5 linked regions of the Cricetulus griseus genome follow. The protein of the gene in region 2 purifies or fractionates together with the protein of the main gene of each other region. This does not show direct contact. Links are inferred from orthologs where the notes say so. Each region holds a gene or a part of one and is shown on either strand. Other genes may lie near its edges.

Region 1 (4,897 bases), on a different chromosome or scaffold from region 2:
GACACACAGCAACAATAACAAAGATAGACTGTTGGGCTATTATTAGCACTGCTAAATTACCTAGTACTTCCTTCTCAGGAATGTCTTGCTCTACTGACTAACACATGAGGAACTGCTGGAAAGAACTTAACATTGCAGGTGACACTGTCCTCTAAGAAGACTTCAACTTCTAAGAATCAACTAGCTTAAAACTGCTCATTTGAAGACACTTTCCTTTCTCCTTTACTTTTATAAAAGCTGTTATCACAAATTTACCCAAAAGTGAACACAATTATAATCACATATCATATCAAACATGTATACAAAGACTTACAATTTAAGAGTCAGGCTGGGCGTTGGTGGCACACGCCTTTAATCCCAGCACTCGGGAGGCAGAGGCAGGCGGATCTCTGTGAGTTCGAGACCAGCCTGGTCTACAAGAGCTAGTTCCAGGACAGCCTCCAAAGCCAGAGAAACCCTGTCTTGGGGAAAAAAAAAATCATAATAATCACAAATTAGATTGGCTGTAACTTCCTATCATCCCCTGCTTAACAAAACCATAATCTCAAAATCACAGGAAATATCTGAAAACCTTTTTTTAAATTTATTTAACTTTATTTTATGTGCATTGATGTGAAGGTGTCAGATCCCCTGGACTTTGAGTTATAGACAGTTGTGAGCTGCCATGTGGGTGCTGGGAATTGAATCCAAGCCCTCTGGAAGAGCAGCCAGTGCTCATAACCTCTGAGCCATCTCTCCAAAACCCCCTGAAGACCTTTTGAGCCTGGTTCAGTAATTTGATAAATTTTAGAACTTTGAGATACACTCTTACTATGTTGTTCAGGCTGCCCTAGGCTTAAATGATCTCTCATGTTAGCCTTCTGAACATACTCCCTGGTTTAGGAGTATATTTTGAATAAAATGTTCCAATGCCCAGTACAGGCAGATGGTCCTTCATGTAGTCTGGATAAGTTATGTTAGCATAGTTATGTCATGCTTTTTATGAAGACTTGAGAATAATGTTCATGATTTGGTATTGAGTGTAAATATAAAAGGAATAAAAAGTGTTCTTCCTTTTTTTTTTTTTTTAAATCAGTATTTTGAAGCTGGGGCCAAGGAGTAAATCCAGAGCCTTGTACATTCAAAGCACACCCTCTACCATGGAGCCTCACTCCTAACCCACAGCTACACCCTTAGGGTCCAGAAGTCTTTAGAAACATCTTCAGAGAAAAACATGTGGGCAACCATGACATTCTTCAAGGTTCAGAAAGTTTTCTGCTTACCTACGTATTCTTTATGGGCTGCACTTGAGAAAGTGAGCCACCCAGCAACTTAAGAGAACTTCTGTATGTGGAACACACAAGACCTATTTTCCATGGTCTTATTAACAAGGATTAGAGTGTTACCACTTGCAAGAAAGCAAGGGCTAGAAAGGGCTCCAGATAGGCTCTCCTCTCAAGAGCTCAGTGCTGATCAAGAATCAAGACTGACCAATCACTAGACTCTTTTTAATGATCCCCAAATGGGAACTTTGGAAACCAAGGAAACATAGTCTTCAATAAAGATTTTCATTTCTCTTTCACACAATTTGCCACTTCAACACTTCCCCAAAAGGTTACATGGTTAAAAAAAAAAAAAAAAAAAGATGCTCATCTTTTACATACCAAAACATGCCTCCCAAAACTATTTCCTGCTGTTAGGCCTGCAGAACTTTTGTTTATATTGAATTTACTCACAATTTATAGTTTGCTATTTGCTATCATTTAAAATATTCAGAAGACTTTGAGTAATTACACTCCTTTAGACTTTGAGTAATTACACTCCTTTATGCTTGAGTAAATTCCAGTGTGGGTAACAATTAAGTCTATATGCATTAAGACTGGGAGGTGAAGAAAATATGATTTACATTTTACTGAGTATTGGTTTCATTAATTCATTAAGTGCGTCAAATCTACTTTTCTGGAGTTCCTATGTTTGTGCTACTTTACAAATAATCTTAATAAGAGGAAGTATTACTCAACAACAATCTCAATTACTTAATGTTTGCTTTTAACAATATGTATTTTTGATGTTTGGCAAACTGTTTTTGAAACACATTAAATCTCAATTTTCTTCCCCCTCTTCTTTGGCAAGTTTTAAATCCTGACGATTCCTCTTCTAGAACACTAGAGGAATTTCATTTCACTTGATTTATATACTGAACCTACAGGAAAATTTGTCTGCACTATTTCACAGGTTAGTGGAGAACTCCACCCAGTTAGCCACCCTTTAACCATCTCTGCTGACCTCACCTCACCTCACCTCACCTCACCTTCTGCATTCTTCCTGCATAGAAACTTCTTGTCATCACTCACCTTCAAGGTTCCACTCCCCCTTTGCCTGGATCTGTTTTCCTACCCTCCTACTCCCCTGATTCTACCAAAAAGCCCCGCTTAGCTGCCTGTTGCATAACGGCTCCCCCACTGCCTTCTCCCCGGATTGTCAGCCAGGCAGGAGTGCCCCTTCGGGCTCTGCTCCTCCTCCCCCCACCCCCGCAACACGCCCAGCGAGTCCCCAGGCTCAGATCCTCCAGGACTGTCTCTGAGCGGGGAGCGCAGGGTATCGCGCCTTGGAGCCTGGAGCTGGTTCGGAACTCGGGTAGCCAGTCCCGAGGGCAGTGTGGCTGCTCCAGCCCGCACAGCCCGCGCACACCGCGGCGCCTGGCCAATCGCCGCCGCCATCCCCTGGCTGGGGTGATGTCTTCAGGTGTCCGCCTAGCCCTGCGTACTCACGCTTGGCTCCTGCCAGGAGCCGCCCGCCCTCCGAGCCCCCCGGAACCGGCACCAGGGCCCCCGGGCTAGGCCCAACGAGGCGACGGCGGCCCCGGGGATGCGAGGGCGGGGGTGGGGGGTAGCGGCGGCCCGAGTCGTGGGCCTGCCGGGCGGCGGCCAGGGATGGCCAGCAGCGGGGACCCAGGCGGCCGAGGCCTGGGCGGGGGCGCGGCACAGAGACCACAGTAGGCCCACGGCGCCCCGGCCCGATGCAGGCGGCCAAGGGACGCAGGGCGGGGGGCGCCCGCTGCCTCGGGCAGCTTGGCGAAGGTGGACCCGGTCCTCCCGCTCTCTGCCGCCTCACCTTCAGGACCCGGATCCCTCCAGGCCGGCGAGCCGTCGCCGCTTCAGGTGGCTCCGGGGGCTCCAGGGGGCCCCCGGGCCCGGGCTCCACCTCCCCCATTGGCGGCCAAGGATTCAGAGACACCCGGCCGGCGCTACAGCGCGCGAGCCTCGGAGGCGCGCGCGAGCGGCGGGAGGCCTCACCCCTCCGCCTAGGCCCCGCCCCTAACCCGACGTCCCGCCCCTATCGGCCCCGCCCCTAGCCCCCGCTGGACCTACGTAGCTGCCGGCCTGCAGAGGCCAGAGCAGAATTGTGGGAGCCTGGCGCCACTGCAGGGTTAGCCTCCGCCACGCTCCACCCATGGCTTAGAGGACTAGGCTGCAGAGAGAGCAATTTGTTGCTTTCTAGGTGCTTCAAGAAGAGGCAGAGGAAGAGGCAGGTGAGGCCTGTACCTGTTAAGATAGCCAAGATGCTGCCCTCCACCGATTCTCTAGCTGAAACGTTTCCTGCTTTTAAATGTGTCTGTCACTTTGCTCGCACTGACAGTGAAAGAACTGTTGCATATACTCACTTACCTCTCTTAGGAGATAGCTTGCGACCTTCTTCAGCAAACAACCTCAAGTATGCAGACATCATTTGGCTCTCCAGCCACATTTCAATGTCCACTGAAGTCAAAGTAGCAGAATTCTTTTCTCAAACATATTAATGCTGTGTAAGCCATATTATTTTGCAAGGCTTAACTCAGCAAAGAATGGTTTTGTTTTGTTTTGTTTTTCGAGACAGGGTTTCTCTGTGTAACTTTGTAGACCACACTGGCCTTGAACTCACAGAGATCCGCCTGCCTCTGCCTCCTGAGTGCTGGGTAAATTAAAGGCGTGCACCACCACCGCCTGGCTCAGTAAAGAATATTTTTAGGCTGGGTGTTGGTGGCACACGCCTTTAATTTACCCAGCACTCGGGAGGCAGAGGCAGGCGGATCTCTGTGAGTTCAAGGCCAACCTGGTCTCCAGAGCGAGTGCCAGGATAGGCTCCAAAGCTACACAGAGAAACCCTGTCTCGAAAAAACAAAAACAAAAACAAAATTTAAAGGTTGGCTTTTCTTTTTAGTTCTTGAAGCGATAGTAGTTTTGTGGTTAATGGACCAAATTATGAGTCTGCCTAATTTCAAATCTTAGTTGTACCCATTTTAGATCTAAATTACTTAATCTAATTCTTTCGGGTTATTTTTTAAGGCAGAGCCACTTGTAGCCCAAGCTGACCCCCAACTCACTATATAACCAAAGCTGGCCCTGAACTTCTGATTCTCCTTCCCTGCATTACAAGTGCTTTAAGCACAGATATGAACCACCATGCCCAGCTTTCTTTATGTTATGGGTGTTAGACCTATACAACCCTTGGTAGTAGAGACTAGAAGACAGTGTCAAAACCTCTGGACCCAGATTACAGATTGTTGTAAATTGGCATTTAGGTGCTGGGAGTTGAAGTTGGTCCTCTGGAAGAGGAGCCAGTGCTCTTAACCTCTGACTCTGGTTCTTAACCAGCCCCTCCCTCTAGTTCTGAACTAAATTTAGTCTACCTGGCAGTTATCAAGATGTAAGGGGGGGAGGACACACAAAGAGCCTAACTCAGTGATTCATAGTAGCCATTATAATTCTGAAATTCTAGTTTCCCAAGTCGCTAGCATTAACTGCTCCTAAATTTTGTAAGACTTGTAAACCTCTTTGTTTTTAGGGCTTCCTCTCTTACACATGGGCTGAATTTCAGTCAACTTGTAAGAAACTAAAAAGCAAAACAAGTTCTCCAATAACAGGCAATCCACTACTTC
Region 2 (4,335 bases):
GCTTTATTCTATACAACTTGAAATACAGACTCTGACCTTTTTGGCATTGCAGACTGTCCAATTTTCTGGAAACTTCTTACTGATTTTGACTAGAGGGGGAAAAAAAGGAACAACCATGCTGGGGGTAAAATCCACCACAGGGGCCCAACTGCCTATGGCTCAGCACTGGGCCGTGAACTGGTAAAACCCATTTAGTGCATTGGCCCCTCCTGCAAACAGAGGGCGGGGCGCCCCCACCCCCTTGCTTTTAGCTCATAACTATCACTGAAAAAGATGCACCAAAAGTGCACTGTTGTATCACAGAGAGATAAAAAGGACTTCTGTAAGAGGAAAAAACGCCAGTTGCTCTGAGGAAAGAACATTTTAACACCTGGGAAATGTCTTTGCTCACTTGAGGGTGTGGAAGCCGTGGCATGTCTGAGCTCCACAGTTAGCAGTGAGGGACCCTGTTCTGCAGTTGTTCGGATCGGTGCCTCATTTTGTGAGGGACCGACCTGGACCCACCAGCGGCCCCCAGTGGAACCTGTGAAGATGTGGAAAAGAGAACAAGCCCTCTCCAGTCCCTGCTCCCGTGGGGACAGAGCACACAGGGGAGGGAGGCGACGGGCCTGGAATAAACTGCCCCTGAAGGCACTTGTGCTTCTTCTGGCTTTGTTCAAGGTTTGTCTTCTGGAGGGTCAGGGGGACCACTGAGCTATCTGAATGAGAAGGACCTTGAGAAGAATCCAAAGTATTTTCTGTCAAAGGTGAAGTGTTTATCCCCAATAAGTTAATAATTCCAAGTCCAAGTGAGTCTATGAAAGCTTATGATTGTTAGAAAGACAGGAAAAGATCTGGACGCAGGTACAGGAAAAGCCCACGCATAAAACTGGAAAACCAAACATGGACCACAATATAAATATCAAACCAACTGACTGTGAGATCTTTTTACTCTAATAACACAAACTTTAGGTAGCATTTGAATGAAACTGAGACTTCAGCATGGTCTTAAGTGGACAGTATCGTGCTGCTCACCCAGGTTGCGAGGCTGTGGTTCCCACTGACACTGCCTCTGAGGAAGACTGGTTGCTGGAGGAAGGACAGTGGCCACCGCTGTTGGGGCTGCTATGGGACAGTACTGCACAACACAGGTGCAGTGGCAGGAGGTCCTCCTACAGACCACAGCTGAGATCCCGTATTTCAAAAGTAGCCCAACATGGTCATTTCTTACAAAGTGGGCTGGTTCTTGAATTGTGCAACAGTGATGATTCCCATTAAAACAAAACTCTTACATGATGATGAAAACATTTTTTTTTTTTTTTTTTTTGTAATGACAAATTTGGAAAAAGCCTTCATAGGTACTGCATGAGTGGAATGTACTTAGAGAAGCCGCAGAACTCATGGGTTTGAAACGCGGTGACAGATGTGGCCCCGCTGATGTTCTCTAACAAGTGCTAAGAGACAGAGGGCCTTCAAAAGGGGTCAGTGAAGTCCGCACGGCTGTTGTAGGTCTCTGCACACCTCGAAGGACTGCTTGGGGCTCCTGTCCTCACACTGAGTCCCTGGGGACACCTTAATCTATGCATGGAGCCTGGTTCTATATTACATCTCGATTAGTGACTCCACCAAATCGGCCGGTGGAGCTCCTGCTCCCGGTAGGGCTTGGTGGGCTTCCTAGGACTACTCAGGGCCCCAGAGGAAGGTTGATGAATAACCCAGGACTTGGCCCCCCTTCACGTGCACTTCTGGCGGTAATGGAGTGTGAGGTCCCCGCCGCTCTTCCAGATGAAGTGCTTTACTGTTCGTAGGTCCATATTTGGGTCCAAAACCTGAACAGCCAAAGTGCATTGAAAACGTCAAGGTCACTAACAGCTAAAGCCACCCTTAACCAGGGACCTGCCAGGTGGCCCAGCTTACACATGGGATCTGAAAAATCCACCAGCAGAAGCAGCTCAGCCCCACCTGAGCACACACACTGCCTCTTAGCTGTGATCCATCTCTTCACCACCCACCTCCACTCCAAATTCTTTAACATGATAGATACTACCCTGCAAATCAAGACGACCTTGCCCCTGTTAACCAGGTGCAGCCCTACTGTGGACATCTGTAAATCTGTGTCCTCTTCCCAAGCACCTCCCTCAGATGAAGAAAAGCTTCGGGTACGCTGAAGAATCTTGGCAAAAGACTGGGCTCTTGAGAGCCTCTGAAAGCTGATGCCCAAGGAGGCCAACTGCTTGAGGATCTAAGCACACGTCACGGTTACACGTTGTGTGACTTTCTGGGTACCTCTGCAGGGAGATGAAGCTACACTCCTCAGGTCCACTCACCTGGTCCTGGCACAGAAGTTCAATTTTCTCCTCTGCCAACACAGCAATATCCTCCTCCTTCTCCTGCTCTGGCTTCTCATTATTAGAAGAGCTGGTGGTCTGAGACTCATTATCCAGGTTGATAATCTTCTCGTAGACATGCTCCGTCACCTTCCGGACCTGCAGCATGTCACTGGCAGAGAGTCTGTCTCTAGAAAAGACAATGCATGTTTTGATACCACAAAGTCTATTATTTTCATTGTGTCAACATCTAAAGAAAAACGTTGTACAGACATCTGTTTTTTTTTTTTTTTTTCTTTCTTTCTGAGACAGGGTTTCTCTATGTAGCTATGAAGCCTATCCTGGCAGTCACTCTGGAGACCAGAGTGGCCTCGAACTCACAGAGAGCCTCTTGTACAGACATCTGAAACCAATGCATGTTTTCAGTCCCTGGATCCATTTGGGAGTTGTCAGAGAGTTCCAATGGTGCCCGTCTAGGGCTTATGTACTACACACAATAGCTACCTGCATTTTAGTCCTTCATGTGTGCGCCTGAACCGAGGACAGACCTGGGCAGATCCACCAATTAACCACCAGGGCTCAGTGTTACTTCCCACTGCTGTGTCTTCAACTAGAAGCAGACAATGAACGCCCCAGGCTAGACATTAAGCCCCAGGCGGCTCCACACCACAAATCCAGCAGCTGGCTTGTCCTGGATCACACAGCTGAAGTCCCTTTCGTCCAGGCCCTCATCTCTGCTATCATTCAACCACCACCAAACCTCATAGCTACAGTGTAAACTCTTCAAGGATCCTGGGGTTCTGTCATGAATCTGCTACAAGTGTGTCTACGCTCGCTATGAACTGATCCAGTGTGTGCGTGTGCAGGAGTGTCGAGGCGAGCAGACCCTCGTGGTGGTCAACCCTGAAGTGTCTCATTGGCCAGTGGGCCAGCTCAGGAACCCTGGGGACAGTTTAGCTGCCCTGCTGGTGTCACACACATACTGATTATGGCTCACATTCCCTTGCTGGCCTCAGCTTCTCTGCCGTAAGCCTCTCTTGGAGCCTTGTCTACCTTACCTATCAGGAATTTCTGCTAGTATGTCATGGTGACCTGGCATTCAAATTCAGTCACCAAGCCTCTAACTCGTCATGTCTCCCCACTCCAGCCTATGTGAGGGAACACGCATCCCCACAACCACTTCTGGTATCCTCAGCCTGTTCCCGCCGGGGAAGTGTGTCTTTGGGCAGTACAGCCATCCGCCCGTGTTCAGGTGATTCCTCCTTCCTGAAACCTCAGAAAGCTGTGCTCACAAGCTGGTTACCCCTTTCTCTTTACTCCCTAAAGGGTCTGTAGAGGCAGCTACTATACACAGGTTTTGTCCTAAACAGAGTCTCACATGCCCTGGAACTGATCCTCCTCTGTCCACCGCTAAGAATAGGGATTACAGGTGTGAGCCACCACAAACGGCTTACTTGGTCTTGCTATGGCGTCTCAGCTGGCCTGGAACTCACTGTATTTCCCAGGCTGGCCTCTTTCCTGTTTCTGCCTCCGAGTGCTGAGACTACAAAGGCATGAGTCAGCAATTATGGGCTAAGCTAAATTCTGACAGGGGACAAGCTCCACAATAACCAGCTTCCCACCCAGCAGCCGTCTCCCTTTCACCACGTGACCATAGGTGCAGTGACTGCAATCAAGAAGAGCAATGGTTACTTACTTTTTTAAAGTTTTTGCTCCTGAAGATGCATGAGGTTGGAGGTAGAAAGGAATTTTGTTGAATTTGGGCATATTTTTCTGAAATATTAAAAGTTTAAGAGGTATAATAGTTTCTACTAGCTGATAAAACTAAAATGCTGTCAATAGGAAAACATGATTTACAAATAACTACTTTTACAATCAAAGGACTTTTAATGTAATTTACATTAAGTTATCAACTGAAGTGTGCCTTAGGAGAAAAATTTATCAGCAAGTATGGTGTTTAGTTTACAATAAAAATAGATGAAGACAAATTATATGTAATATTAGTGCCAAAAATACTTTGTGGCATGGC
Region 3 (4,925 bases), on a different chromosome or scaffold from region 2:
TAGTCACACATGCCTTTAATCCCAGCATTCAGGAGACAGGGACAGACAGACATCTCTGAGTTTAAGGCCGGTCTGTCTAGTCTATATAATGAGACTGTCTAATAAACAAACAAACAAACAACTCCATTAGTTTTTATACACACCCCACTCCCTCCTGGTACAAGCACTCTACCAACTAAGCTACTGCTCTAGCCCTAACTTTTTTCTGTCTTTTGCTTCATTGAACCCAAGCCTTCCAATACTAAATAAACTCACCCTTGAGCTATATTTCCATCCTACTACCAATCTAATTTCTCAGCTCATTTGAAAAAGTACATCTGCCAAAATAACAAAAACTTTATTTTTAAAGACAAGTAATAAGGATGAAATTTTTATTTTTAGAAAATTCAAATGAATTAACAGGGCTATTGTGGTTAAAAGCATAGTACTGATGCTGCACAAGTAGGCAAGAAGCTCAATGGAGTGTGTCTGAAAAGCAAAACCAGACAAGGTTATGTAAGAATTCATACAGGGGATCTCCGACACGGCCCAGAAAGCAAAGGTACTTGCTGTCCAGCCCAGTAACCTAGTTTGATTTGCCAGGATCATGGTAAAAAGGGAGCACCTCTTCCCACAAGTTGCCCTCCACACATATGCTGACCCCTGCACTTACAATAAATAAGCAAATGTAGCAAAAATAATTTTTAAAAAGAATTTAAGTGGTAAAACTAACATCCAAATTAACAGATAAAAGACTAAGAGATGATAGTGGGACAAATTCTGACCATTTAGATAAATGAGGTAAAATACAAGCAAAACTATGTATGTTGAAATAAGTGAATTAAAAAAAGAATCTATTATTATGGTCTATAAAGCTTTGAGATGGTGTCAGAGACATCACACAACAGACATTCAAGTCAGAATTAAGTTAAAGTACCTGCCCTGATATCTACTAGTATGGAAATCTATTTTTTCTTTTTTTTTTTGTTTTAAAATTTTTTAAATTAGTAACAAGCTTGCTTCACATGTCAATCCCAGCTCCCTCTCCCTCCCCTTCTCCCCCTCCCCACAACAACCCCCAAGCCCCCATTCCATCCCCCCTCTGCTCCCCAGGGAGGGTAAGGACCTCCATGGGGGATCTCCAAAGTCTGTCATATCATCCCAACAGAACTGTGACTATGGAGCAAGCAACACAAACTGGCAACTTCCCCTGGGAAGAAGCATGGCTGACTGATCCTGAAAACACAGGATCTGGAATGGAGAAAGTCATCAATAATTGCTTGTGCCATAATTACGGCACAACAATGACTAAATAGCCATAGAAATTAAAAACATTCATGTGATGGGGCTGGAGAAATGGTTCAGCAGATACGAGCACTATCTGTTCTTCCAGAGAACCAGGGTTCAACTCCCAGCACCCACATGGCAGCTCACAGTTGTCTGTAACTCCAGCACCAGGGGATTTGACACCCTCACACAGGCATACATACGGGCAACCAATGTAAATAAAATGAAGATAAATAAATCATTTAAAAAATATGTGAAAAAGAAATATTTTTGAAACCAAGTTCTTAGGATTATAATTAGAAACTACTAAATATGCTACAAAGAAATGTAAGCTGGCTGTGCTTGCACAAGCCTGGGCTACATGGGATCCTGTCTAAAAACTAAAACAGGGCCAGTGAGATGGCCCAGTAGATAAAAGCACTTGCTGCCAAATTGGCAATCTGAGTTTAGGCCTTGGGAACCACAGGGTAGACGAAGAGAACTGACTCCTCCTACAAGTTGTCCTCTGATTTCCATACTACCAATACACAACTGTAAATTTATAAACGTAACAAGAAATAAAAACAAGTTTGAAAATGTATTGAAAGCCTTCCACCCCAGCACTCAGGTGGCAGCGATAGGAGGATCTCTTTGAATTCTAGGCCAGCCTGATCTATAGAATGAATTCCAGGACAGACAAGACTACAGAGAGAAACCCTGTCTCGAAAAACAAAAACAAAACAAAGAGTTAGGACTGAAGTGAGCACACATCTTAGCTCACTTCAAAGGCACCACAACACATTAACTAAAATGCTAGTCTGAGACATGGTATATTAAAAAAAACATAGCAGCTATGAAGAGGCACAAGCCTGTAATCCCAACATTTGGAAAGTGGTGACAGGAGGATCAGTAGGTCCGAATCCAGCCTGGGTATTTTTCTATCTACATATACATATCAGCCATGTACTTTAAGATCCTAGCCACTACTTAATCGCATAGAATATCATTATGGTTGCTTAGTGTATTTTTATTTCTTTCTGTAAACCAGGGCTTCCCAGATTAAGCACTGTCTTCAGCTTAGTGTACTCTTGAAACGCGGTAAATACAGAACACCTAACATGTCACAGAGACTCTTAACTACATTACATTAAGCTCTGCAGCCTCGAGAAACCGACTTAAATACCTCACTTAATTCTTAAGTGACATTCCATATGGAATTCCTAGGACAGATGTTTGTGTGTACGGACTAGACGCACTTAAAGCTTTTTCGCTGTTCTATGATTCCACATCACGAACAAAGAATTGGAGCCTGAGATCCTCGGTGACATGTCATTCCACCAATGTTTCAGGACCCGGGAACAGTGGTTTTCAAATCTTGAGCTTACAGCGAGCCCGAAAATTTCTGAGAATTCCACTGAGGACTTAACCACGATACACCGAGGCAACCATCCCACACAAAATTATAGCTGCGGATCATCACATCACTCCTTCCCCGTCTCAGAAGCAAGCAGGACTCCCACCACCCCCACGCCACAATTCGCCAACACAGGCAGGAAAGAACTTGACAGATCCTCGAGCTCACCTCAATCTCGTAGTCCTTGACTGGACGGGGAGCTGCAGCCGCCGCCATGGTCAGGACCCCCACCATGATCCCTGCCTCCCAGAGCCACGGATCCTAGGACCTCAGGCGGTCCGGCCCAGCCTGGCTGGAGGCCATGGAGGCGGCCGGTGCAATGGGAGCGAGCTGCGGGGCCGCGGGGTCCGTCACGGGTCCCCCAGAGCCCAGCCGGCGGACGCGAGTGCGAGGCTGGGCCCAGGGCCGTCCAGCCAGGCTTCGTCGAGAAAGCGCGGGCGCAGGCCCCGCGGAGGCGGCCGGACAGTGCACGGTGACCCCGAGGCAGGCGCTCCAGGCTCAGCGTTCGAGCCCCGGGCCGCAGTGGGCGCTGCACACGGAACGCCGATCAGGCCTTGGGCTTCCTGGGACTTCTTGTCAATTGGGTTTTCGCGCCGTCCGGAGCGCAGGGGGCGGAGCCTATGACCGCTTCTGGAGACTGGGCCTACGGTGAGCCACTAAGACCAAACTATTTCGTTTGGCGAATCAGCAAGCGACGGAACCAGGTCTATTTGGAATCCTAGTGGGACTTCAGACGTTCGTGACTCGGTGTTACAGGCGAGTTTGACCATTCAGGACGTGATTTCTCTAAGGCTACCTAGTCACTTGGTGGCCGAACTAAGACTTAGACATAAGGCATTTTTTTTTTGTTCGTTCGTTCGTTTGTTTGTTTTTTTGAGTCCTGAATGTTCCAGAACTCCGTTTGTAGACCATCCTGGCCTCGAACTCACAGAGATACGCCTGTCTCTGCCTCCTGAGTGTTGGGATTAAAGGTGCCTCCACTGCCCAGCGACTGTAGCCATTCTTAAAATTATATTTTAAAGCCAGGAAGTGCGACTTTAATGGCTTTAATTCCAGCACAGCCTGGTCTACATAGAGTTCCAGTTCAGCCAAGAGAATCTGTCTGATAATACATAGATAGATAGATAGATAGATAGATAGATAGATAGATAGATAGATAGATAGATAGATAGATAGATAGATAGATAGAGCAAAAAAGAGAGAAATAAATGAGTGAGTGAATAAATAAATAGAAAGGAGTTAAGACGACGTAGAAAAGCCGGGTGGTGGTCTACATAGAGTTTTAGTTCAACCAAGAGATTCTGTCAAATAAATAAATAATAGAAGTTTAAAAGAGATAGAAAAGCCAGGTGGTGGTGGTGAATATACACTTTTAATCCCAGCACTCGGGAGGCAGAGACAGGCAGATCTCTGAGTTCGAGGCCATCTTGGTCTACATATTTAGTTCTAGGACAACCAGGGCTACACAGAGAAACCCTGTCTCAAAAAAAATTTATTTTAATTTTATGTGTATGAGTGTTTTGCCTACATGTATGTATATGTACTATGTGTATGCCTGGTACCTGTGGAGACCAGAAGAGGACATTGGATCCCCTGAGACACCATGTGGGTGCTGGAAACCAAACCCAGATCCTCTGCAAGAGCAAGAAGAACTGAGTTCTCTCTCTAGCCCTCAGATACAAAAAGCATGTGCTTTGTTACTGAGCTACATACCCAGCCCATGATTTAACCATTACAAAGAGTATGTATAAAACCCTGCTACCTTGGTTAAAGATTTAACTGCTCTATAGCATCGCCCACAATGGAACTTCTCCTTTCATGCTTTCATCAGATAGGTTAGTAAACACACTGTGGCATAACCATGTCATAACCATACAATGGAATCCTTCTCAGCAATAAAAAGAAATGAGGGCTAGGAAGGTAGAGTATTGGAGAAACACCTCCCGTTCACAAGGTGGTGGTATCAATCCTGAGCATTGCCAAAATGCAACTCTAAATCAATAAAAAGCCAAGCATGGAGCAGGGGGTTAAAGAGGTGACCCAGCAGTTAAGGGCACCGGCTCCTTTTACAGATGACCCAAGTTCAATTACTAGCACCTACATGGCAGCTCACAGCAGTCTATAACTCCAGTTCTAGAAGATCCATCACCCTTTTTCTGATCTCTGTGGCACCAAGCAAATAGCAAAGAGACATAGATGCAGGCAAAACATTTGTTCATAAAAAATAAATAATCTTTTTTAAAAAAGCAAAATCAAAATGGTACTG
Region 4 (4,862 bases), on a different chromosome or scaffold from region 2:
ACTGTATCCTGTGGTATTCCTTGGCTCCCCATTGCCAGAATACCTTTCCATCTGAGCTGTAACATTCAGTATTCTGTGGCTCCCAAGTGCCAGAATACATTTCCATCTGAGCTATAATGCTTACAGGCTCCATAGGAGCAAATCCTGGTACTGTAATCCTGGTCAAAAACCCATAGCACATAAAATCACAGATCCTAGGAGGAACCCTAAATACCACTGCTGAATTAGAGTGACAGTCAACTCAACCACCTTCTAAATATTGGTACCCATAGACAATGCTACTCTCAGCCTTACTCAGAGAAGTATCTCTTTCCAACGAACAGTAGTGAATTCAGAGACTCATGGTGACACAAGGTGCTGAGAAGAAGTGACGCAAGAGTGCTCAGCCCCAACAAGACACTGATAGCACCCGTTTTGAAGGCTCAAGGAACATGGCAGCAGAGGGAGTGGAAAAATACAGGAGCCAGAGGATAAAGCAAAGTTCGACAAAATGCCACTTTCTGGGCAAGACCCCGCCATTGCAGTCATAAACTCACTGCAGCTTTGGACGCCTGCACTGGATCCGCATAAGAATAGGGCCCATCAGCAGCTAAGGGAGGACTCAGAAGGACCCAAGCTTTGCTGGAGATCAGGGGAAAGGGAGTCATTGTCTTGAGCTGTGTGTTCACTGGTGCCCCCACCAGGATCCAGAGAGTAGTTGCAACCCAATGCTCACACATCTGGTCTGGTTAAGTTAAAAGGGTCACAAAACCAAACCAAGAATCCCGAGAATCTGGAAAGCGCACTGGTAGGGATGCGAAGGTTCGGAGCAATGCTAAGCTGGCAGGGGTGGGAGGGGCATACGGAAGGGGAAGGAAAGAGTAACCAAGAATGCATTACAAGCATGCAACAGAACAAAATTAAAAAGAAACATTTTCATGCTATTAATTGGCTTATGAGGGTCCGTCGACCTCAGGATAAATTCATCTTAAGCCAGCTTACATCTCCGGGTTCGTCTCTGGGTGTGCTTACACCCTGCCAGACCGACGTGCAACCTGCACACCCAGTGCCCCCCGTAAAGTGAACTGTCAACGTCAAGCTGCACTTCCGCTCTTTAGGCAGTGCCCAGGAAACCTGCTCGGGTTCCCTGAGCCTGTAACAGGTGCTCTCACGGGGACCTCCACAGTGACGGGGTTTCCTCGCGGTTGGCATGGGCTCACCTCTTTCCTCAGAAGCCGAAGCAGACTTGGAGCTGTCAAAGCCGAGCTGCCCGGTAAATCAGCTGACTTCGTGCTTGTTTGTAGAGCCAGCAGATTCACTGTGGCAGATTCGCTACTCTCGGTTCCCCTTTCCTCACACCCCAAAGAAAACTCCGACCCAAGAGCCCCTTTATGCCGTTGCTCTTCCAGTTAGTCCTTATAAAGTTGGAGGGGTGTTACTACTTTTGGACTCTGTACTAGGGTCGGTACCAAATCGCCGTCGTGACGAAAGCGCAGCGGCAATCCAACCCCGGGGCCGGGGCCGACAGGATCCGGAACGCCGTGCACCGGGGGAAGGTGTGTGTGCGCAGGCGCGCTCTTCCCAGCACGCAGGCGCCGCCTCCGGCAGGCGAGCGCTGATTGGCGGGCTGGCGCGGCGGGGCGGGGAGCGCCGCGTCCGGTTTTGGGCGGGAATTGAAACCGCCGCAGCTGCTCTCCGGCTCCGGATCGCGGCGCCTGCGGCCTGAGGACGGGCACCATGGTGCGCCCTACCCGGTGAGTCGCTGGTGACGTCCCGCGGGGCAGGGGGATGCGCGGGGGCACGCCGGAGGCCGGTGTCGCTCGGGGCTGAAGGAGGGGACCGTCGCCAGCCCCCGCTGCGGAGTGGCGGACCCAGCATCCTGCTTCCCGCCCTCGGCCTCCCTTTGCAGCTGTTGCCTGTTTTATGGCCCCCAACCCTTCCCTAGGCAGAAGGGCCCGTTTGAGTCGTAGTGACCCGTCACGCACCTCCAGGTCCTCTCTGCTCTCCGTTGTACGGTTGCAATCTACTGTCCGTGATCACGGCTGCCATCCGCCCGTTTAGTATATAACCGAAGCTATGGCCCGGGGGTGGAGTGATTGCCTAGTACATGAAAGGCCCGAGGTTCTATCCCCAGTACTGCACAGCCGACCAAAAATAGACTTAGTGAATTCACTTTGTACTGTACTAAGAGCTGGAGGTTACCCTCGTGGAAGACGGGGCCTGGGGCCAAGTCAGCACCCAGTGGGAAAGAGGAAAGGCCTACTTCAGAATAGACAAAACCTAAGAGGCATTCTCGGTAGATAAGTAGAAGCCAAGGCCCTGGAGCTTGGCCATGCTTGAGAAAGGAGTTTGGATTTTATTCTAGACCAATGGGAGATGAGTAGTTTCAGCATAGGCAGGTGGGAGTTATTCTGACTTTACTTTTATAAAGGTCACTGGCTGTTGGTAGACCTGAGTGGGAGCAGGAGTGTGGAAGGCTAACTTATCACCAGATTGTGACTTGACACAGTGTTTGTGTGGAGATGGAGCAGGTGAGTTTAGGTACCTCTGACAAGCTGATATGGAGATGTGGAGACAAGGACAGAATCAAGGTTGTCAACTTGGGGACTGAGCTACGTGGTGGATGATTTTTGTACTTACCTTTTTTAGGAGGCTTTTGGTTTTATTTACTAATTGTCAGTCCCAGAGTTTTAAAAGATGCTGTCGTATTTCCTGCAGCTGTCAAATGTTTAAACTCTGAAGGGTGGGAGAGTGGCATGGACACCTCCTTTAAGGTGTGTGAGGCTGTGGGAAGGCACACACGGTGGTTCACCAAAGGACACACAACTGGACAAGTCTCTTTGACAGAACTCTGTTTTTGCTTGAAAGAGCAGGCAGCTGGAAACAACAAGCTTGTTTATATGGGGCATTTAATACACAACAGAAGGGAAAACTGGACAACTTTGCATTACTTTCCTAGAGGGGGGAATCATCCTTTTTTTCACATTGAGAACCTTTTCTTCTGCCTACAACGACGGGAGGAACAAACTATTTTAAAGTGTCCATTCCATTAGAAAGACATTATTTGGTATTATGGAAAGATTTCTTTTAAATATTGATTTTGTTTTTAGGTGTATGTGTGTGTGTCTCTGTGTCTGTGTGTGTCTGTGTGGGTATGTGTATATGAGTGCAAATGCCAGAGGAAGCCAGAGGATTTTTACCCCCTAGAGCTGGAGTTACAGGTGGTTGTGGGCTGCCTGGCATGGATGCTGGGAACCAGATTCAGGTCCTCCAAAGGAGCAGTACATATTCTTAACCACCATGACTCCACCTCTAAGGGATTTTTTTAAAAAAAATATGCTAAAACTGAAGAGATACTTTATAATGTAAACAAAGAACGAGTACAAAGTAATTTATAAATGCCCAATAGCCACTAAACAGAATATAAGTTTTAATTGATAATTATTTGTGTTCTCCTTATGTTGGGGGTTTCCTGAATTAATTTTTTTCCCACATCATGTCTATTAGGTATGGTTTTGGCTTTTCAGCTAATGCCAAGTTCTTGGTGTTAAATGCAAATAATATTTTGGATTAAAGTACTTCTAGGAGACTTCAAACACATTTTCCTTTCTTCAAGACTATTAATAACTTTAAGGTGAAAGTAAAAAGTTAGTATTTGTATTAATGAAGATTTTTCTGTCTTGATCATAGAAATAAAAAACCAGTCAATTACTCACAGTTTGAGGACTCTGGTGGTGACTCTGATGGTAAGTAGAGCATTTTACTTTTGCTTAACAGATTGAGAAATTTATTTCCTCAGAGTTAGATATGGAAAAATTAGACTCTGAAAGCTTAGGAGGCTTAAGCTTTGCCGTATTATGTTTGTCTTTGTTGTTAGAACTTTGATCAAAGTTTGAGAAACATTTCATTAAGTTACTATGTATTTGTAGTAGAATACTTTTTTCCTCCATGTGTGCTGGCGATTAGTCCCAGGGCTTCCCGTGTGCTTAGTAAATACTCTACCACTGAGCTATAACCTTATCCTAGAAGTAAGTTATTACACTTCCTTTCCACACCAGCATAGTTTCCTTTAAGTCGAGCACTTTAGTAATTTCTCTGTTCAGAGAAATCTCTTGCATTAAGTGGGTCTTCAACTTGAGAAAAATACTGTATAGCAGATAACTTTTAGCCTCTATCACTGTCAAAGCTATGTGACCAGGTACTTACAGGTTGCCAGTTGTGTTCATGATACTAGGTGGGGTGGAATGTGCAAAAAATTCTAAATTATATTTCTGTATGTGGAAGTGCGAAAGAAATATGTTAATTGTTTTTAAAAGTATGTGATCCTACATTCGTGTGTCATACATGGGTTTTTTTTTTTTTTTTTTTGAGTATCCCGAGAAGGACCACAGGAGTCTTGAAAGGGCTGTGAGAAGTAGCAGTGGGTTGGGAGAGTTGATCGGAGCAGAGGAAGGCTGTGGGTATCAGATAGACAGCCAATGTGGAGCCACTTGGGCTGGTCAGTGGTGCTTTCTGTTCCCTTAGGCTTGTTTTTTTACTACTGATGTACCTTTGTAAACATGCTGGGCTACATTGTGGAGTTTAGTTAAATCATTTCCTTCCAATTTTCATAATGGTTCTGTAGGTTTTTAGTTAATTGTTATGTCTGACATTTATGAACTGTCTTAATTTACCTTTGTAGTTTGCAGTGAATTGGATTTTGATGGGATGATATTTCTAAAAAACAGGCCACTATTCATCTTGAGATGGATGAGTGAAAGTAGAGACAAATTGTTTTATTGATTTTTTTAAGGTATTGAAATTAAATGTGATTATGCATAAAATGTGGGTAAATGAATTTTAGCTACCAAGAAAATAATTTTCCTTCTTTTTAATTTATGCAA
Region 5 (4,894 bases), on a different chromosome or scaffold from region 2:
AGGGGCAGAGAACCCTGGCTTCAGAATCAGTGTCGCAGTGGCAGTGAAAAGCCTGGGGCCCTGGGCTAGGGTGGGGGAGGAGGAACGCCCCAGAAAGGCCAAAAGTCAGACACAGCCTCTGCACTGCCTTGGCTCTCACACTAGTGGCCAGCTTGTTCCAGAGTCACCAGGGAGTCCAGAGCACTGCTCCAAATCATGTGCTATTTTTTACCAAAAAATCAGGGTAAGGCGTCAGATATAGACGAGGCCCAGACCACACTCCTCTCTATGAGGGCATGGGGCTACTCAAAGAACCCATGGGGATGAGGCAATGGCCTGACACCCTCCCAAGAGCACCACAGTCTCTGCTCCTTCCTGGATCTCCCTGCCTTCAGAGGGAACAGGGCATGGAGAAGTCTTCCAAATTCCCAGGCAGGGAATTTGGGGAGGGAGCTGTCCACCCTTAACCTTTTAGACTTCTGCTGGCCTAGGAGGGGAGACAGTAGAGGGTGAGAGAAACTTGGGCAGCTTTGGTGTCCAGGAGTAGCTATGGAAACTGCAAGCAAACACATGGGGTTTGGCTGGGGAGGGCAAGGAGGGGCAGGGTCCAGGCCAAGGAAAGTCCTCAGTGCTGTATACAGCCACCCAGCCCACCTTAGCAGGTCAGGTGCTAGGCACAATCAAGCATAGGTTGGGAAGAAAAGGCCATCACAGCAGAAGTGCCAGCTGAGCTCACAGGGTAGTGGGAAATGGGAGTGGTCTCCTGTTCTTAATTCTCCCCAGGGGACATCTTTTCTCTACCACCACTACTCAGAAGATCTCAAAGCACTGAGTGGCTCTGCTCGCAAACCAATCACCAATAGTGGTGTTAGAGATAGGGGGCTGGACCCTCCCATCCAAGTGAGTCCCCCTCCTCTTTTAAAGTAGCCTGGGAATATGAGAAGGGGTAGATTCCTAAGGCTATAGGCATGTATGTCTGCCAACACCTTAGGGCAACTCTCAGGCCCACCACCCCCCTTCTGTGGAGCCTGCAGAAGGCCTACTCCTTCAAGGGCCATATAAGATGCCCCTTTCCGGTGCAACCCTGGACATGGGAAGCTGGCCCAGCACAGACCATGAGGTATAGGGTCTTTCCCCCAGCCCAGTCACAAGGCAATGGACCAGCTCACCCTCACAGTCTGCTTCCTTCTTTCACTTCTGCAAAGTTGGGGTGGGGGTACTGACAGGGCAGGACTGCAGTCCCCCATATCTTTGTTTTGGGAAGTTCCTAGCTCCCCTCTCTCAACCCAGGCAGAGCCAGCCTTACACATCAGGAAGCAGGAAGTGTCCCTAAGCTCCCCATCCTTCTCCCCTGACAGTAGGGCATACGCAAGAACAGTATCCTGAGGACAGGAACAGTATCCTGAGGACGCATCCCACACCCCTTCAGGCCAGCCAAGTCCCAGCCTCTGGCAGCCTCTGGCAGCCTCAGGAAGAAAGAATGTCTGGGGGAGGAAGAGAGAGCAGGTGTCCCAGAGTAGGCGTGGGACAGGGCAGGATGCTGGGCGGGGCAGCAGGCTAGGAACCTGAGGGCAGGTCGCAGCAGGCCACCTTCACAAACACAGACCTGAAAACCTTCCCACTCTGACAAACAGCTGGAAGTCCCCCACGCCCCCCTCATTGTGGGAACTTCTGGGAACCCAGCTGGGTGGCAGGGGCTGACTCAACCTGCCAAACACGGATGTCTGTGCGAGTGGCGGGGGCGACCACTCGCACGTGGCAGGGGCAGCGTGGGGGCCCCGAGGGGGATCACTCACTTGGATCGGTGCGGTGCTGAAATGGATCTTCCGACTCGGGGCCGGATCCTCTTCCTCTGAGAGGCCGGGAATCTCCACACACCCTGACTCCGGCTCGTAGGGGGGCTCACCGTCCTCCTCATCTTCTTCATCGTCCTCTTCCAGGGCACTGCCCCCAGAGTCCTCCCCGAGTCCACTGTAGGCGCTCACATCCACCAAGTCCGCTTCTGAGAAGTCCTCCTTCTTGGACTCATCCACCTCCTCAGGGGCCACGTCCGGGGCCCCGCCATTGTCCACCCCCCTTTCCGGCGTCGCCACCGACGCTGCCTCCTCCTCGGGGACGGCCTCGGCCTTGGGCTCCTCGGGAGCGGGGCTGGCTGTGGTGGCCGAGGTGCTGCCATTCTCCAAGGCAGCATGGACGGTCACCTCGGCCTGGATCACTTCCCCGGGGGCCGACTCGGCCTCAGACTCCCCACTTTCCTCAACCTCCACCGGCTTGATCTTGCGCACCTCCCGCGGCTTAGGCGGCGGTCGGGCAGGGGCCACTCGGTGCTGTGGGGGCTGCTGCCCTCCCGTGCCTCGCTCCTTCTCGGTCGCGGCATCCCCCGACGGGGCAGGAGGGGGCGGCGGTGGCTGAAACACCCGGGACCGCTTACTGACCAGCTTCGAGTTGACCTGGGGCGCCCCCGCGGCCCGGGGGGGGCCGGGCGCACGGTGAAGGCCGGTCCTCGAGTCGGCTTTCTCGAAGACGGCACTGAGCTGGCTGACCGTCGGCGACACGGCGTCAGCATCCAGCTTGTCCAGCGCCTCGGTGCTGCCGTTGAAGCGCACCACGACGTCCAGCTTCCGGTCCTGCAGGCCGGCGCGCTCCTGCCTCAGCAGCCGCCGAGCCGCGGCCTCCTTGTCGCCGCCACCCGAGGCCGCGGGGACGCTCCGTTCGAACAGCTTCCGCGTCTCCTGCAGCCGGGACGGCGGGTGCGGCGGCGGAGCCGACTGCGCCGAGGGCGCGGGCTTGGAGTCGAAGCGGCTCACGCGCTCAGACACGCTGGTGCCCAATTTGAGCAGGGCGCTGTGGTCCACGTTCTCGTTCAGGCTGCTGGCCCGCGGCAGGGACAGGCGCACGCCGCGCTCGGACGCCCGCGGGGCCTCGGCCATGCCTGCGCCGCCTCCCGCCTCCCCAGGCGGCCCCGCGGTGGTGCCCATCTGCAGGAACATACTTTTGATGCGGTGGACGTTGGAGCCATATTTCTTATGGTGGGCCGCCTTGGGTGTCTCATCGGGCCCGGGCGCATCGGGAGGCTTCAGTGCCTGGATGCCCGCTTCGTAGGCGCTGCGGTGCGGGGAGGCGCTCCGGAGGGGACCCCCGGGCCCCCGAGGCTCCGTCTTCATCATGGTGGGGGGAGCCGGGTTCGCATCCCCCCGCTCCCCGCTGCCCCCCTCCAGCAGGCGGCTGGCCAAGTCGGGACCACCGCCCCCCTCCCCAAAATAAAGAAATCCCGAAAGGCCTTCTATAGAGCCCCCCCAGAAACCAAGCTGCCAAAAAACAGTTAACCCTGCTCTAAAAAAAAAAAAAAAAAAAAAAAAAAAAAAAAAAAAAAAAAAAAAATCTCGGAGCGCCCTGTGTGGGTCGCCTCCCCAACCAAGCTGCCAAAGACAGCCAGCCCCCTTCGAAAGCTCGAGCGGCCGGCCTGGTGCGGTCGCCCCCACCCAAATTGGAGAAGCGGAGGCTGGCTGGAGCCGCTGGGACCGCGCGCCCAGTCCGCGAAGCAGCGGCCGCCGCGGCGCCGGCTCACATCCTCCGAGGCGGTGTCAGCGGGGCTGGCGGCGCGGGCGCCCCTACTCCGGCCGGGAGCCTTGACTCTCGGGGAGCCCGGCATCCCCGCGCCCGTGGCTGCTCCGCTGACCCGGGCCGCTCCGCCGCGCCTCCCTCCCCCCTCCCTCCCCCGCGCCCCGAGCCTCGGTCTTTCTCTAGCTCAGCCCGAACCGCGGCTGCCGGAGACCGAGCGGCTGCCCTTCTCGCCGCCGCCGCTGGGGGACTGGCACCACTGGGTCCTAAAGGGATCGGATTTCCGGGGCCGGAGCCTGTGAGCCCTCCCCTTCCCCTCCCCCCTGTCGCCTCATCTCTCCTACTCATAGTTGGCGGACAGCCTTCCGCAGCTCCTCGGACCTTGGCTATTCTTCTTCAACCCTCCCATCCCAAACTCGGCGGCTTTTCACAACCCACATAGGCGTCCCCTCATTTAACCCTGGGGGGCGGGGAACCATCCAGACACAGCCGTCTGGATCCTGCCTGGCCTGATCCTCCCCCAATATGAAGGGGTTCTGTGAGGAGGAGCCCTGAATCACTCACTCAAAGGTCCTTAGAGTGTTCAGGGTTATCAGCGTCAAAACTGCTGGGTGCTAGGTCAAAGCACATATTTCTAGCTCCTTCCAAACTTAGGGCAGGGGATCTCAGAGGCAGGACCTGGGAGTCTGCATTTTAACAACTCCCTATAGGGCACTTTTTGCATCTTCCAGGATGTAAAACTTTGGCCCAGGATTACTCGCGGTGCTGAGGAGAAATGAAGAAAAGGGGGGTTTACATCACCCAAGTGACAGGAGATTTCCAAAGCTCCCTTTGCCGTTGAAAGTCTTAAGATGGTGCTCTTCACCTGCCCACTCTTTTTTCAGGCTTCGAGAGGAGTGGCGAATCCTGGCCTTCATAACCTGCCAGAAAACCATCTCTCAAAACAGGAAGAGTTGGGACGGGATTGGGGGGTGTAGGAAGGAATGATTCTAGAGGCCTGGGACCAAAGTTTCCCTATTGAGGGGGGGGGGTACGTTAATCTCAGCATTTGCGAGGCAGAGGCAGGCAGATCTAGAGTGCCAGGACAGAGAAACCGTGTCTCGAAAAAGCAACAACAACCAAGTGTGTGTCCTAACAAATCCCTTCTTGAAAACTCAGCTTCTTTAGAGTTCCTTCATTCCTCACATACACAAGGGACCTGGTGTTGCCCATTATCCCTCCCCAGTTGCCTGGAACCTGGCAGTGAGGATCCATCCAATATTCAGGTCGAATTGTGTGTGTTGCTTGGGTCTGTAGATCCCAGGAACTGAGGAACAGAGTGGACACTAGGACCCAGAGAACAACTCAGGCACAA

What was found. The genes of interacting proteins can lie anywhere in the genome.
Region 1: the proteins of Wdr48 (region 2) and Phlpp2 purify together in Homo sapiens (affinity purification with mass spectrometry; 5 studies listed by BioGRID and IntAct, with this or other methods). This does not show direct contact. The link is inferred for Cricetulus griseus from reciprocal best matches to the Homo sapiens genes WDR48 and PHLPP2.
Region 3: the proteins of Wdr48 (region 2) and Atad5 purify together in Homo sapiens (affinity purification with western blotting; 3 studies listed by BioGRID). This does not show direct contact. The link is inferred for Cricetulus griseus from reciprocal best matches to the Homo sapiens genes WDR48 and ATAD5.
Region 4: the proteins of Wdr48 (region 2) and Rad51ap1 purify together in Homo sapiens (affinity purification with mass spectrometry; 5 studies listed by BioGRID and IntAct, counting the BioPlex papers as one, with this or other methods). This does not show direct contact. The link is inferred for Cricetulus griseus from reciprocal best matches to the Homo sapiens genes WDR48 and RAD51AP1.
Region 5: the proteins of Wdr48 (region 2) and neurabin-2 purify together in Homo sapiens (affinity purification with mass spectrometry; 3 studies listed by BioGRID and IntAct, with this or other methods). This does not show direct contact. The link is inferred for Cricetulus griseus from reciprocal best matches to the Homo sapiens genes WDR48 and PPP1R9B.

The regions. Positions count from the first base shown.
Region 1 is NC_048596.1:186,232,356-186,237,252, reverse strand, and holds the start of Phlpp2 (PH domain leucine-rich repeat-containing protein phosphatase 2), read right to left. Parts: upstream 3,265-4,897; 5' UTR 3,193-3,264; coding exon 3,094-3,192; intron 334-3,093; exon of another isoform or gene 314-333; intron 1-313. UniProt on the Homo sapiens protein: Protein phosphatase involved in regulation of Akt and PKC signaling.
Region 2 is NC_048597.1:227,013,523-227,017,857, reverse strand, and holds the end of Wdr48 (WD repeat-containing protein 48), read right to left. Parts: intron 4,080-4,335; coding exon 4,003-4,079; intron 2,497-4,002; coding exon 2,307-2,496; intron 1,809-2,306; coding exon 1,713-1,808; 3' UTR 902-1,712; downstream 1-901. UniProt on the Homo sapiens protein: Regulator of deubiquitinating complexes, which acts as a strong activator of USP1, USP12 and USP46. Enhances the USP1-mediated deubiquitination of FANCD2; USP1 being almost inactive by itself.
Region 3 is NC_048600.1:93,536,361-93,541,285, reverse strand, and holds the start of Atad5 (ATPase family AAA domain-containing protein 5), read right to left. Parts: upstream 3,265-4,925; 5' UTR 2,894-3,264; coding exon 2,828-2,893; intron 1-2,827. UniProt on the Homo sapiens protein: Has an important role in DNA replication and in maintaining genome integrity during replication stress.
Region 4 is NC_048601.1:19,519,597-19,524,458, forward strand, and holds the start of Rad51ap1 (RAD51-associated protein 1), read left to right. Parts: upstream 1-1,598; 5' UTR 1,599-1,716; coding exon 1,717-1,733; intron 1,734-2,392; exon of another isoform or gene 2,393-2,510; intron 2,511-3,669; coding exon 3,670-3,725; intron 3,726-4,862. UniProt on the Homo sapiens protein: Structure-specific DNA-binding protein involved in DNA repair by promoting RAD51-mediated homologous recombination.
Region 5 is NC_048600.1:108,169,721-108,174,614, reverse strand, and holds the start of neurabin-2, read right to left. Parts: upstream 3,265-4,894; 5' UTR 3,147-3,264; coding exon 1,776-3,146; intron 1-1,775. UniProt on the Homo sapiens protein: Seems to act as a scaffold protein in multiple signaling pathways. Modulates excitatory synaptic transmission and dendritic spine morphology. Binds to actin filaments (F-actin) and shows cross-linking activity. Binds along the sides of the F-actin.